Callithrix jacchus: one gene and its partners. The protein of the gene in region 1 interacts with the protein of each later gene in a pairwise test. Links are inferred from orthologs where the notes say so. Each region holds a gene or a part of one and is shown in the gene's direction. Other genes may lie near its edges.

Evidence for each region.
Region 2: the proteins of SNRPA (region 1) and NDUFAF3 interact in binary tests that used the Homo sapiens proteins (3 or more experiments, as listed by UniProt). The two-hybrid records come from large-scale screens. The link is inferred for Callithrix jacchus from reciprocal best matches to the Homo sapiens genes SNRPA and NDUFAF3.
Region 3: the proteins of SNRPA (region 1) and QKI interact in binary tests that used the Homo sapiens proteins (3 or more experiments, as listed by UniProt). The link is inferred for Callithrix jacchus from reciprocal best matches to the Homo sapiens genes SNRPA and QKI.

Annotation. Positions count from the first base shown.
Region 1 is NC_133523.1:36,300,082-36,303,889, forward strand, and holds part of SNRPA (U1 small nuclear ribonucleoprotein A), read left to right. Parts: coding exon 1-50; intron 51-938; coding exon 939-1,118; intron 1,119-3,808. UniProt on the Homo sapiens protein: Component of the spliceosomal U1 snRNP, which is essential for recognition of the pre-mRNA 5' splice-site and the subsequent assembly of the spliceosome. U1 snRNP is the first snRNP to interact with pre-mRNA.
Region 2 is NC_133516.1:31,650,936-31,654,099, forward strand, and holds NDUFAF3 (NADH dehydrogenase [ubiquinone] 1 alpha subcomplex assembly factor 3), read left to right. Parts: upstream 1-1,279; 5' UTR 1,280-1,303; coding exon 1,304-1,380; intron 1,381-1,502; coding exon 1,503-1,695; intron 1,696-1,856; coding exon 1,857-1,923; intron 1,924-2,031; coding exon 2,032-2,132; intron 2,133-2,211; coding exon 2,212-2,328; 3' UTR 2,329-2,442; downstream 2,443-3,164. UniProt on the Homo sapiens protein: Essential factor for the assembly of mitochondrial NADH:ubiquinone oxidoreductase complex (complex I).
Region 3 is NC_133505.1:169,958,096-169,962,617, forward strand, and holds the start of QKI (KH domain-containing RNA-binding protein QKI), read left to right. Parts: upstream 1-1,500; 5' UTR 1,501-1,667; coding exon 1,668-1,809; intron 1,810-1,972; exon of another isoform or gene 1,973-2,317; intron 2,318-4,522. UniProt on the Homo sapiens protein: RNA reader protein, which recognizes and binds specific RNAs, thereby regulating RNA metabolic processes, such as pre-mRNA splicing, circular RNA (circRNA) formation, mRNA export, mRNA stability and/or translation.

The DNA of each region.
Region 1 (3,808 bases):
CCAACGCCCTGCGCTCCATGCAGGGCTTCCCCTTCTATGACAAGCCCATGGTGAGTATTGTGGGTATGGAGGCAGGGTGTGGGTGTGGGTGTGTGAAATGTTATAGGAGACTGGGTGGGCCTGGAGTAGAGGAGGGGATATGAGGGTTAATTGGCCAAGGTGAGGCTGGACCAAGCTCCACTGCACCTTGCCTCATTTCAATAACAAATTTTTGTTTGGCTGGGCACCGTGGCTCATGCCTGTAATTCCAGCACTTTTTTGGGGGGGGTGGGGGGATGTTGTTTTGCTATTGTTGCCCAGGCTGGAGTGCAATGGCATGATCTCGGCTCACTGCAACCTTCACTTCCCAAGTTCAAGTGATTCTCCTGCCTCAGCCTTCCAAGTAGCTGGGATTACAGGTGTGTGCCATCACACCTGGCTAATTTTTTTAATTTTTAGTTCAGAGAGGGTTTCTCCAAGTTGGTTAGTTTGGTCTTGATTACAGGTATGTGCCACCATACCTGGCTAATTTTTTTTTATTTTTAGTAGAGACAGGGTTTCTCCATGTTAGTCAGGCTGGTCTTGAACTCCCGACCTCAGGTGATCCGCCTGCACCTCAGCCTGTCAAAGTGTTACCGTTGTGAGCCACCATTGCCTGGCTTTTTTTTTTTTTGAGACAGTCTTGCTCTGTTGCCCAGGCTGGAGTGCAGTGGTGTGATCTCGGCTCACTGCAACCTCCTGGGTTCAAGTTATTCTCCTACCTCAGTCTCCTGAGTAGCTGGGAATACAGGTGTATACCACCATGCCCAGCTAATTTTTGTATTTTGGATGGAAATGGGATTTTGCCATGTTGGTCAAACTGGTCTCGACCTCCTGGCCCCTGATAAGGTCCAATTTTGAATCTTGGCAATTGGGCTCTGAATCCATGCCCTTAACCCATTCTGCTCTCTGTTTGGTAGCGTATCCAGTATGCCAAGACCGACTCAGATATCATTGCCAAGATGAAAGGCACCTTTGTGGAGCGGGATCGCAAGCGGGAGAAGAGAAAGCCCAAGAGCCAGGAGACACCAGCTGCCAAGAAGGCTGTGCAGGGCGGGGCAGCTGCCCCCGTGGTGGGAGCTGTGCAGGGGCCTGTCCCGGTAAGCCAGGGCCAGCAGACCAACCCTCCTACTGACAGGCTTTCCTTAGCCACATGGACTGGCTTTGGGACAGGGTGGGGAGAGTTCTCCCCGTGGGGCTTCAGACCCCTCCTTTCCATTCCCTTATAGAGATTATGTGTCCGTCTCTCTTTGGGGGGTGTTGAGCCCCTAGATGATACTATCTCCACTCAGAACGCCTGTGTTGAGCCCCTAGATGATACTATCTCCACTCAGAACGCCTGTTCCCGTGTGACTGTTTCTCAGTGTCTTTCTTTCTTCCTGGCTACGTCTTGGTATCGCTGTCTCCTTGGCCTTGATTTTGTTGCCTGTGTCTTTTTGTTGTTGTTGAGATGGAGTCTCACTCTGTTGCCCAGGCTGTAGTGCAGTGGCGTGATCTCAGCTCACTGCAACCGCCACCTCAGGTTTAAGCAGTTCTCCTGCCTCAGGCTCCCAAGTAGCTGGGAGTACAGGCATGTGCCACCACACCTGACTAATTTTTATATTTTTAGTAGAGATGGGGTTTAACCGTATTGGCCAGGCTGGTCTTGAACTCCTGACCTCTTGATCTGCTCGCCTTGGCCTCCCAAAGTGCTGGGATTACAGGGATGAGCCATCATGCTCATCCTGTCTTTTAAGTCATTGTGCATGTAGAAAATCCAAGTATCTACTAAGCAACTGTTAAGATTGGTTTAGAAAGGTCACTGGGTATAAGGGCAATGTGGAAAAAATCAGTTTTATTACGTATTTATTAATTATTATTATTTTGAGACGGAGTTTCGGTCCTACTGCTCAAGCTGGAGTACAGTGGCATGATTTTGGCTCACTGCAACCTCAGCCTCCTAGGTTCAAGTGATTCTCCTGCCTCAGCCTCCCTAGTAAGTAAGTGGGACAACTGGTGGGTGCCACCATGCCATGCTAATTTTTTGTTTTTTTGTTTGTTTTTTTAGTAGAGACAGGGTTTCACCATGTTTGCCAGGCTGGTCTTGAACTCCTGGCCTCAAGTGATCTGCCCACCTCAGCTTCCCGAAGTGCTGGGATTACAGGCTTGAGCCACTGCACCTGGCCCTCACACAATGAAGTTTCTAGAAGAAAACAGGAAAATGTCTTCATGACCTTGGTGAGGGCATGAAAAGTGGAAACATCCTGTTTTCTAAACAGAATACAAAGAGCACTAAGTACAAAAGAAAAGATGGACAAGGCCGGGCATGGTGGCTCACACTTGTAATCCCAGCACTTTGGGAGGCCGAGGCGGTTGGATCACGAGGTCAGGAGTTCAAGACCAGCCTGGCCGACACAGTGAAACCCCATCTCTACTAAAAATACAAAAATTAACTGGCATGATGGCAGGCACCTGTAATCCCAGCTACTTGGGAGGGTGAAGCAGGAGAATTGCTTGAACCCAGGAGGTGGGGGTTGCAGTGAGCCAAGATCACACCACTGCACTCCAGCCTGGACAACAAAGCAAGACTCTGTCTCAAAAAAAAAAAAAGAAAGAAAGAAAGAAAAGATAGACGAACCGGGCCCACTCCTTGGGTCTCTGATCCTCTGTGTCTCTCTGGCTTTTGTCTGTGGCTCTGGCTCTGACTGAGTTGTGCTCTGTTCACTGCCACTCACACTTTCTCCACGTCACCTATGGCGTCCGATTACTGTGGGCTCCTGTTGTTAACCTCTCTCTGCAGTCTTCACTGCACGCAGCTTTCTGTCCACTTTCCACTTCAGATTGTGACTCCAGCCCCTGTCTGTGCTGCCTGCCATCTGCGGTCTTCCCTCTTCCCCTGGCTGCCATGCGTTTCGTTCTGCACCTGCCCTGAGTGTCCCTTGCCATCTCTGCCCTCATTTGTATTTGTTTATATTTTTTGGGACAGATTCTTACTCTGTCGCCCAGGCTGGAGGGCAGTGGTACAGTCTGGGCTCACTGCAACTTCTCCCAGGTTCAAGCAGTTCTCCTCCCTCAGCCTCTCTAGTAGCTGGGATTACAGGTGCCTACCACCAGACCCAGCTAAAATTTGTATTTTTAGTAGGGAGCGGGTAGCACCGTGTTGCCCAGGCTGGTCTCAAACTGCTGGGATCATAGGTGTGAGCCCCCGCGCCCGGCCTACCACACGTTTCTTCCTGCCCCTTCCCTGACTGCCCCTTTCCATCTCCGCCCCTTCCCCGACTGCCCCTTTCCATCTCCGCCCCTTCCCCGACTGCCCCTTTCCATCTCCGCCCCTTCCCCGACTGCCCCTTTCCATCTCCGCCCCTTCCCCGACTGCCCCTTTCCATCTCTGCCCCTTCCCCGACTGCCCCTTTCCATCTCCGCCCCTTCCCCGACTGCCCCTTTCCATCTCCGCCCCTTCCCCGACTGCCCCTTTCCATCTCCGCCCCTTCCCCGACTGCCCCTTTCCATCTCCGCCCCTTCCCCGACTGTACCTTTCCATCTCCGCCCCTTCCCCGACTGCCCCTTTCCATCTCCGCCCCTTCCCCGACTGCCCCTTTCCATCTCTGCCCCTTCCCCGACTGCCCCTTTCCATCTCTGCCCCTTCCCCGACTGCCCCTTTCCATCTCTGCCCCTTCCCCGACTGCCCCTTTCCATCTCTGCCCCTTCCCCGACTGTACCTTTCCATCTCTGCCCCTTCCCCGACTGCCCCTTTCCATCTCTGCCCCTTCCCCGACTGCCCCTTTCCATCTCTGCCCCTTCCCCGACTGCC
Region 2 (3,164 bases), on another chromosome or scaffold:
CACCTGGGCCCCAGAACAATAGAAGGGGAGGTGGGGGCCTCCCCTGGGACCGGGTCCCGATCCGGATTAGATCCGCAGGGCAGGCTTAGCCCTGTTGGTCCCGCGAAGCCTGGGCCACTGGTGCGGTGACGGTGGTGGGGCGGGCTTCGGAATCCGCCAGGAGGGAAGCGCGCCCGTGGGGCTGGAGAGGAAGTAAACCCAAGCGTCCGCCTCGGGGACACCCCCGCGCTTGGGGCTCTTTGTCCAGTGACGCTGCCAGCGCCCAGAGCACCAGGGGCCGAAGGGGCCCACACAGCAGCGGCGGGACCCCCAGAAACCTATTACGACCGCCCCCCAGGAGACCCACCACCAGGCCCCGACTGTGCCGAGCTCCCTGCTCGCCCAGCCCCGCGAGTAGCGAACGCAACAATGTTCCCCTGGGGCCACGACAGAGCCAGCGTGCCGAGATACCCAATCCCCGCGCGGGCGCCAACGACTCTCGCGCCAGTAGGCCCTTGACTTGGTTCAAGACGGGGGACTGGGGACTCCCAGGACGAGAGCAGAGTGAACGAGGACAAGGTGATGCTCCACGCGTTTCTACTTCAAGTCTGGTCCGGTTCTGCCCGGTCTGGCCCAGCCGAGCAGCAACCCCAACACTACCACAGCTTGCCCTTCCGCTTGCTCTGGCTGCCCGCAGACTTGGAGCTATTTTAAGGCGAAACCACCTGGCCACGCCTCCTGGAGCACCCGATAAGCCAATCCACGCTAGGCCACGCCCCTCTAGCGCGCAACTGAGAGGCCAACGGTCGCGCGGGTGACGGTTAGGGCGGGACTTGCTTCGGTTGTGAGCCGGAGAAACTTGAGCTGGTTGCCCCGCCCACGGTGCCTGAAGCCCCAAAGGCTAGGATTAGGGGCTCGAAGTCTGGCATGGACCGCCTGGCCAGGTGTTCGGTTCACGATTAGGTGGGTGGCTGCCCCGCCTCGGGAGCGCGGCTTAATAGTTGAGAGCCGGGGGTCCAGGCCGCAACTGCGGCCCACGCAACGCCGAGGGCGGCCACACTACCAGGTGTTCCACTCCCCTGGGACTGTGGGCAAGGACCCGGGGCGGGGCGAGGGGCAGGTGATGACATCGGAGCTGCGCCGGAGGCCGGGGGACTTGTCCTCCTCCCAGGACAGATGATATTCGCCGGCTGGGCCGGCCGAGCTGTGCCGTGCACTCCGGGACGCAGGGGGCGCTGCACCCGCGCTGGGTCAGCCTCCGCAGGGCCCCGCCAACCCGGTAACAACCGGCGTCAGTGACGACTTCGCCGCGCGTCGATCAGCCATGGCCACCGCTCTTGCGCTACGCAGCTTGTACCGAGCGAGACCCTCGCTGCGCTGTCTGCCTGTTGAATTTTCCTGGTGAGCTGGACCCCTCACTGTTGACCATCCCACCCCCTAGGGCCGGCGACTGCCACCCCGCACCTTCTGGCTTCTCGGGCGGCCCGTCCCGGCCCTGTGCCCCTGACCCGTTCCCTCCGCAGGGCCCCGCGACGGGGGCATCGGCTCTCGCCAGCAGATGACGAACTGTATCAGCGGACGCACATCTCTTTGCTGCAACGCGAAGGCTTTCAGACCATGTACATCGACAGTTACAACAGCCGCGGCTTCATGATAAACGGAAACCGCGTGCTCGGGCCCTGCGCTCTGCTCCCGCATTCGTTGCTGCAATGGAACGTGAGTCCTGACCCGCTGTGAGGAAACTGAGGTCCAGAGTCACAGGTCCTCAGCCTGCTTGTGTCCCTGTAGACGTGGCTTTCCTCTATCTCCTGTAGTGGATGGAGGTGGGGAGAAGCTGCGTAGATTTGTCGTACTGAATAAATCATCTCCCTGCACAGGTGGGATCCCACCAGGACATCACCGAAGAGAGCTTTTCCCTCTTCTGGATGCTGGAGCCCCGGATAGGTACTGGGGACAGGGGAGGCAGGGCAGAGGTGCTTTGAGCCCTAAAAGGCAACCCCCACTCCAACCTCTCAACAGAATTGTAGACTAGTCTCATCCTCACTTCCCTAGAGATTGTTGTGGTGGGGACTGGAGACCGGACTGAGAGGCTGCAGTCCCGGGTGCTTCGAGCCATGAGGCAGCGGGGCATTGCTGTGGAAGTGCAGGACACGGTGAGTCCTATAACTGGGGCCTGCTGTGGGGAGTACAGGCCTGGCACTAGACAGGCTGATTCTGGCCTTTTCTTTGCAGCCCAATGCCTGTGCCACCTTCAACTTCTTGTGTAATGAAGGCCGAGTAACCGGAGCTGCTCTCATCCCTCCACCAGGAGGGACTTCACTCACATCTTTGGGCCAAGCTACTCAGTGAACCACCAGGAACTGACCTGCTGACTACACTCTGCCAGTTCCCAGTGCTTTCACCCTTATCTCCCCTTTGGCATTTATCTTGCTTACCAACATAATAATTTATACACTTCTCCCATTTTGTATCAGGTGTGTTGCTGGCCAGGTGCTGCTGGCTCACTGAGCTCTTGGAGAAAAATGTGAAGAAACCAAGGGGTCACTTTTTCATCTAGATTACTTAGGATAGTATGTTTACCTGTTCTAGACCTTGCTCACATGCAGATTTCAGAGGACCTCAATGCCTTTTCTCACAAAATCACTGATTTTTTTTTTTCTCTGAGACAGAGTCTCGCTCTGTCACCCAGGCTGGAGTGCAGTGGTATGATCTTGTCCCACTGCAACCTCCACCTCCTAGATTCAAGTGATTGTCCTGCCTCAGCCTCCTGTGTAGCTGGGATTACAGGCCCCCACCACTGCACCTAATTTTTTTTTTTTTTGACATGCTGTGGGGTGATTTCTGCTCACTGCAACCTCTGCCTCCCGCGTTCAGGTGATTCCCCTGCCTCAGCCTCCCAAGTAGCTGGACTAAAGGTGCATGTCACCACGCCCAGCTAATTTTTGTATTATTAGGGATAGGGTTTTAATATGTTGCCACCTGCCTCAGCCTCCCAAAGTGATTACAGGCAAGAGCCACCACACCTGGCCGAGAGCTATTTAGGTTAGGGAATATGTATATGTCTTGACCTGGTCCTATGTGGCCAAGTATGACTTAGTAGGATGCCCGGTGGATGCCAGTCCCAGGGATTGTACTTTGACCCCTTGGGATCCAGAGGGGTAAAAGAAGCTCAGTGAGACTGAAAC
Region 3 (4,522 bases), on another chromosome or scaffold:
CACGCGTGTCCGCGCAGGCTTCCCGCCTGGGGAGCGCTAGGCTCCTTTCCGCCGTGCTGCTTTCCAGCCTCCCAACAAATCACGAATACCGAAGGGAGCCACGGCGGCGACGAGAGGGGCGTCGCGCGTGGTTCCCTCGGCGACGAAGCCGGAGCCCGGCGCGCCGACCGAGGGCGCCCCGCGCAGAGTCCCGCAGAGGCGGACGCCGGGGCGCGCGCCTCAGAAAGCCTCAAACTCCTGTCCTCCGCACCCCCCGCCCCCCGCAGCCGAGACCCGCGCCGCGTCAGGCCGGACTGCCAGTGCAGGCCGACCAGCCCTCCGCACGGTGGGCGACGCGCCTGGGCCCCGGTCAAAACCGCCAGACTCAGACCCTAGGCGGCTGCCGCCCCCAGCCCCGCCCCCGCCCCCGCCCCACGCAGGCGCACTCCGGGCCACGCGCCTCCCCCACCGCGCGCTGGCGGGGCCCGGCGGGGGCGGAGCGACCCTCAGGATGGGCGTGGCCACCAGCCTCGACGCGCGCACGCGCTCTGGAGCCCCACAGCTACGTGTCGGGCCACGTGACGCCCACCCCGAAAGTCCCCCGTGAAGCAACAGGACGTTAAAAAAATTTCTCTTCTGCGGGGTGGATGAGAGGTTTTGAAAGAACTATAGTAACGAGGAGCGAGGCGGAGGCACCGTTGGCGCGTCCCGCTGGGATTCCTCTCGCCCGCCGCTGGGGCCACGACCGCGCCCGCGGCCCCGCCCGCCCCCTGCCGTGGAAAGCCCCGCGTACCCCGCACCCTGTGGCCGACAGCCTTGCAACCCACACCCACGCACCCCGGGCGCCCGGCACGGCAGCGACCCCATCCTCTGCTCCCAGGCCCGGGCCCGCCCAGCGCCGCCGACCGTCACGCTCCCGCCGCCCGCCCCGCCGGGGAGGCAGGGAGGAGGTAGCCAGGCGCCAGTGGCTGCCAGGGTGGGGGGCGGCGGGCAGCGGGCTGCAGGAGCGCGCCGGCCCGGCCCCGCTAACGGCCGCCCTGCGCGGCCCCGCCCGCCTCCCGCCCCCGGCCCTCCCCCCGCCGCCGCCCCTCCCCCCCTGCCGCCGCCGCCGCCGCCGCCGCCGCCGCTGGCAGCGCCGCCTGAACTGAGGCGAACTCCGCCGCCAAGTGAGTGAGGAGGAGGAGGAGGAGAAGGAGGAGGAGGAAGAGGAGGAGCGCAGTCAGAGCGCGGCGGCAGCGGCAGCGGCAGAGGCGCCGCGGCGGGCACCAGCCCAGAGAGACCCCCGAGCCCGCGGCACAGGCGGCGGCGGTGCTCAGCGGGCGCGACCAGCCGAGCTAGCGGCGGCCCCGGCTCCTCCTCGTCCGGCGCCAGCGGCCCGCGCCCCGCGCCCGTACTCGGCCAGCCGAGACCCGCCTCCCGCCGGCCTCGTGAGGGACGCGCCGAGTCGGGCGGCCGAGAGCGGCGGCGGCCGGGAGCGCGTCGGCCCCGGGCGGAAAGTGCCTGCGGGGGGCGGGCGAGCGCGCGGTGCCGGCCGCCCCGGGGCTCGGCGCGGGAGCCGGAGCGGGAGCCGGCGCGGAGCGGGACGCCGGGTCCCGAGCGGCCGGCGGCCGGGGCTCGCCCCCGCCCCTCCCTCCTCTCCGGCGGCGGCGGCGGCGGCGGCGGGCGGAGTGAGCTGCGGAGCCTGGAATATGGTCGGGGAAATGGAAACGAAGGAGAAGCCGAAGCCCACCCCAGATTACCTGATGCAGCTGATGAACGACAAGAAGCTCATGAGCAGCCTGCCCAACTTCTGCGGGATCTTCAACCACCTCGAGCGGCTGCTGGACGAAGGTGAGCGCCTCACGGGCCCCGGCCCCAACCCCGCCGGGGCAGCCCCTTTCCCCGCTCCGGATGGTGGGGAGGGCGGGTAGGTCACGGCCGGGCGGGACCGCGCGCCGGGGGGACGGGGAGGCCGGGAGGACGCACAAAGAAGGCGCGGGGCCCGGCTGGCGGCGGCGAGCGGGCGAGCGGGCGGGCGGGCCGGGGTGGACCCGCCGGGGCCGGACGGCCCCCGCCCGGCCGGGACCCAGTGCTGCTGGCGCCCAAGTTTGTGCCGTGCGGAGGGCTGCGGGGCGGACGCTGCGGCCCCTCTAGCTTTGGCGGTCACATTTCCGAGAGGCCGGCGGGGGCCGCGCGGGCTCGGTGGTCCTCGCCGAGCCCTCTCGAGAGCAGGCCCACGCCGCGCCGCCGGCCTGGAGGACGCGCGTGTCCCCGGCGCGGGCCCCGCTCCTCCGCTCGGTCTCCCGAACCAGCCCGGTGCGGACCCCCGCTGCCCCGAGTTCGGGAGCTCTCCCTCCGGGTGAGGACCAAAGCGGGGTTTCGTGCTTGGGGAATTGGTGCAGCTGGTAAATAGTAAGTGGAAGTCAGCGTGGGGCTCGTTCAAGAAAATTCGGTAGGAGACCGAAAGTAATGCTGGCGTAGCCGACAGGGAGGACGAAGTGACGGCGAAAAGCGCTTTTTTTCCTTTTGTTTGGGGAAGCGAGAACTGTTAGGGAGTTGAACTTCACTTTTCGGGGGTGGGGGGGGGTGGAGAGCGAAATACCGCGATGACAGATCGGAGCGCTGCCTGAGTTAGGAAGAACTTGGGCGGAGGGTTTGCTCTCGGGGACGCAGCCGCCTGAGTTTTCAGGACAGGGAATCGAGACGCTGGGAAAGGGCGAAATAAAATTGAGCCAAAGTTTCCAAATAGCTTTATGGAGCTCTGTGGGGAGCGAAGAATGACAAGAAGATTAATGTTGACCAACTCTGGAATTTCCTTAAGAAGTTCTCATAGCAGGACCTGGAGTATTAATTTTTAGTAGCTGTGGGTTTCTGCGGACACCTAGAGAAAAAAAAAAAAATGACCACACACAAAAATGTCTGTTTCGAAAATCGACTAGCCAGGATTTTTTTCTTTTTCTGCTTAGAGGCATTACTGGAGGACTGTAAAATGGAAACCAAAAACTGTAGGTTGAAGAAATAGTGGAGTTTAGGTTTTTCGCAAGAATTTCGAGATTTTAAAAGTAGTCGGGGAAAAGGAGTTTGAAGCTTGGGGAGTTGGAATGTCACCAAAGAACAAAAGGCCGGAAATGTTTACATGATAAAAAGATGGTTAAAGAAAAATCCCAGGAGTTTTGTTGTATTGAAAGTCGTAGAAACAAAAGTAGGAAATGGTTAGGTGTTAGGCTTTCTGGTCGTTGTGCTTCCGTGTGTTAAACGTACAGCACTCACCCACATTGAAATGGGCATTTTCCACTGTTGGAACAACAGATCTGCTAATTTCAGGTTGCTCCAGAGAAAACTTCAGCTGTCCCTTTAAGGGGTTCTGCTTTTCCTATTTGTGTTGGCATTTGAAAGATTGTGGAGGCAGAAAACTTTCTGGAATGTCAAAAAAAAAAAAAAAAAAAAAATTGCTGTAACTCTTAAATTGCGTATTTCCGAATGTGAGCGCTAAGGGGCGCCAGTTATTTTTTAACCATGAAAATGGTCAGAACGAAATGTGAAACATACACAGTAATCTGACCTATATTAAATTAAGTATGGATTATTTGATTTGTCATCACGTGTTCCTATAGTGTTCTCGAACATTGAAAACACAATTATTGGCACAAGTTTATGACGTTTCAAAAATAACATTTTCTCTTTCGCATATTTTGGTTAAGTTTTAATAGTGCTAGTAACAATTTCTGGTAAAAGTTTTTTTCTTGAGTGCAGTTGTTTAGCAGGAATCCTTTTTCGACGGTAAAATGAAAATAGACCTTGACAATGTTTAGGGTTAGTTAAAATTAAATTGCATTCTTGAAATGTTGAATTCAGAGACTATAGGAGATTCAAAAAAAAGTGAAAATACTTCACCTTAGTATACTATTTAAAAAGCTGCATACTTTGGAGTTTCTTTAGTTTAAAAGGGCGTCTCACTTGTGCTTTTATGTTGATCTAAACTCTCTTCATAATTTAGAGCTGGTTCCTTGTTACCAAGTTTCTAACTTTTTGCTTTAATAATTTTTAATTTTTCAAATCCAGAAATTTGAATTACGTCCCTATTTTTAACCAAGGTGTATTTCTCTCTGGTTGGAAATAGTAATCGTTTGACTTTAAAATGTAGGAGACCGAGAGGAAATCTCCTTATATTTGTTTCCCCTTCCCCTTGTAATGTGGCTTATTCCATTTCTCATCTTACTCTAGTTTTAGCCTTGTCAACTCCCAGTGTAAAGATTGCTTCTGTATGGCAGATAGTATGTTTAAAATGGGCAATATAATGACAAGGAAGTTTGACTGTTTTTTATCAGACCAGTACAAACATGCAGGAAAAAGGGCTATTCCTTAGTGTGGAATAAGCTGTTTCCTGTAATTGTTAGCCTTATTATAAACTTAATTTGACTTAGGAAAAATATTGGTTTCTGAAGTCCATCACATTTTTTTTTCTGGATGATTTGGTTGTGAAATTCGGCAACTTGTGCTTTACCCCTTTGTGGTTTGTCACTGTCCAAAACAAATTAATCATGACTTCTGTTTCTGGTTAGGC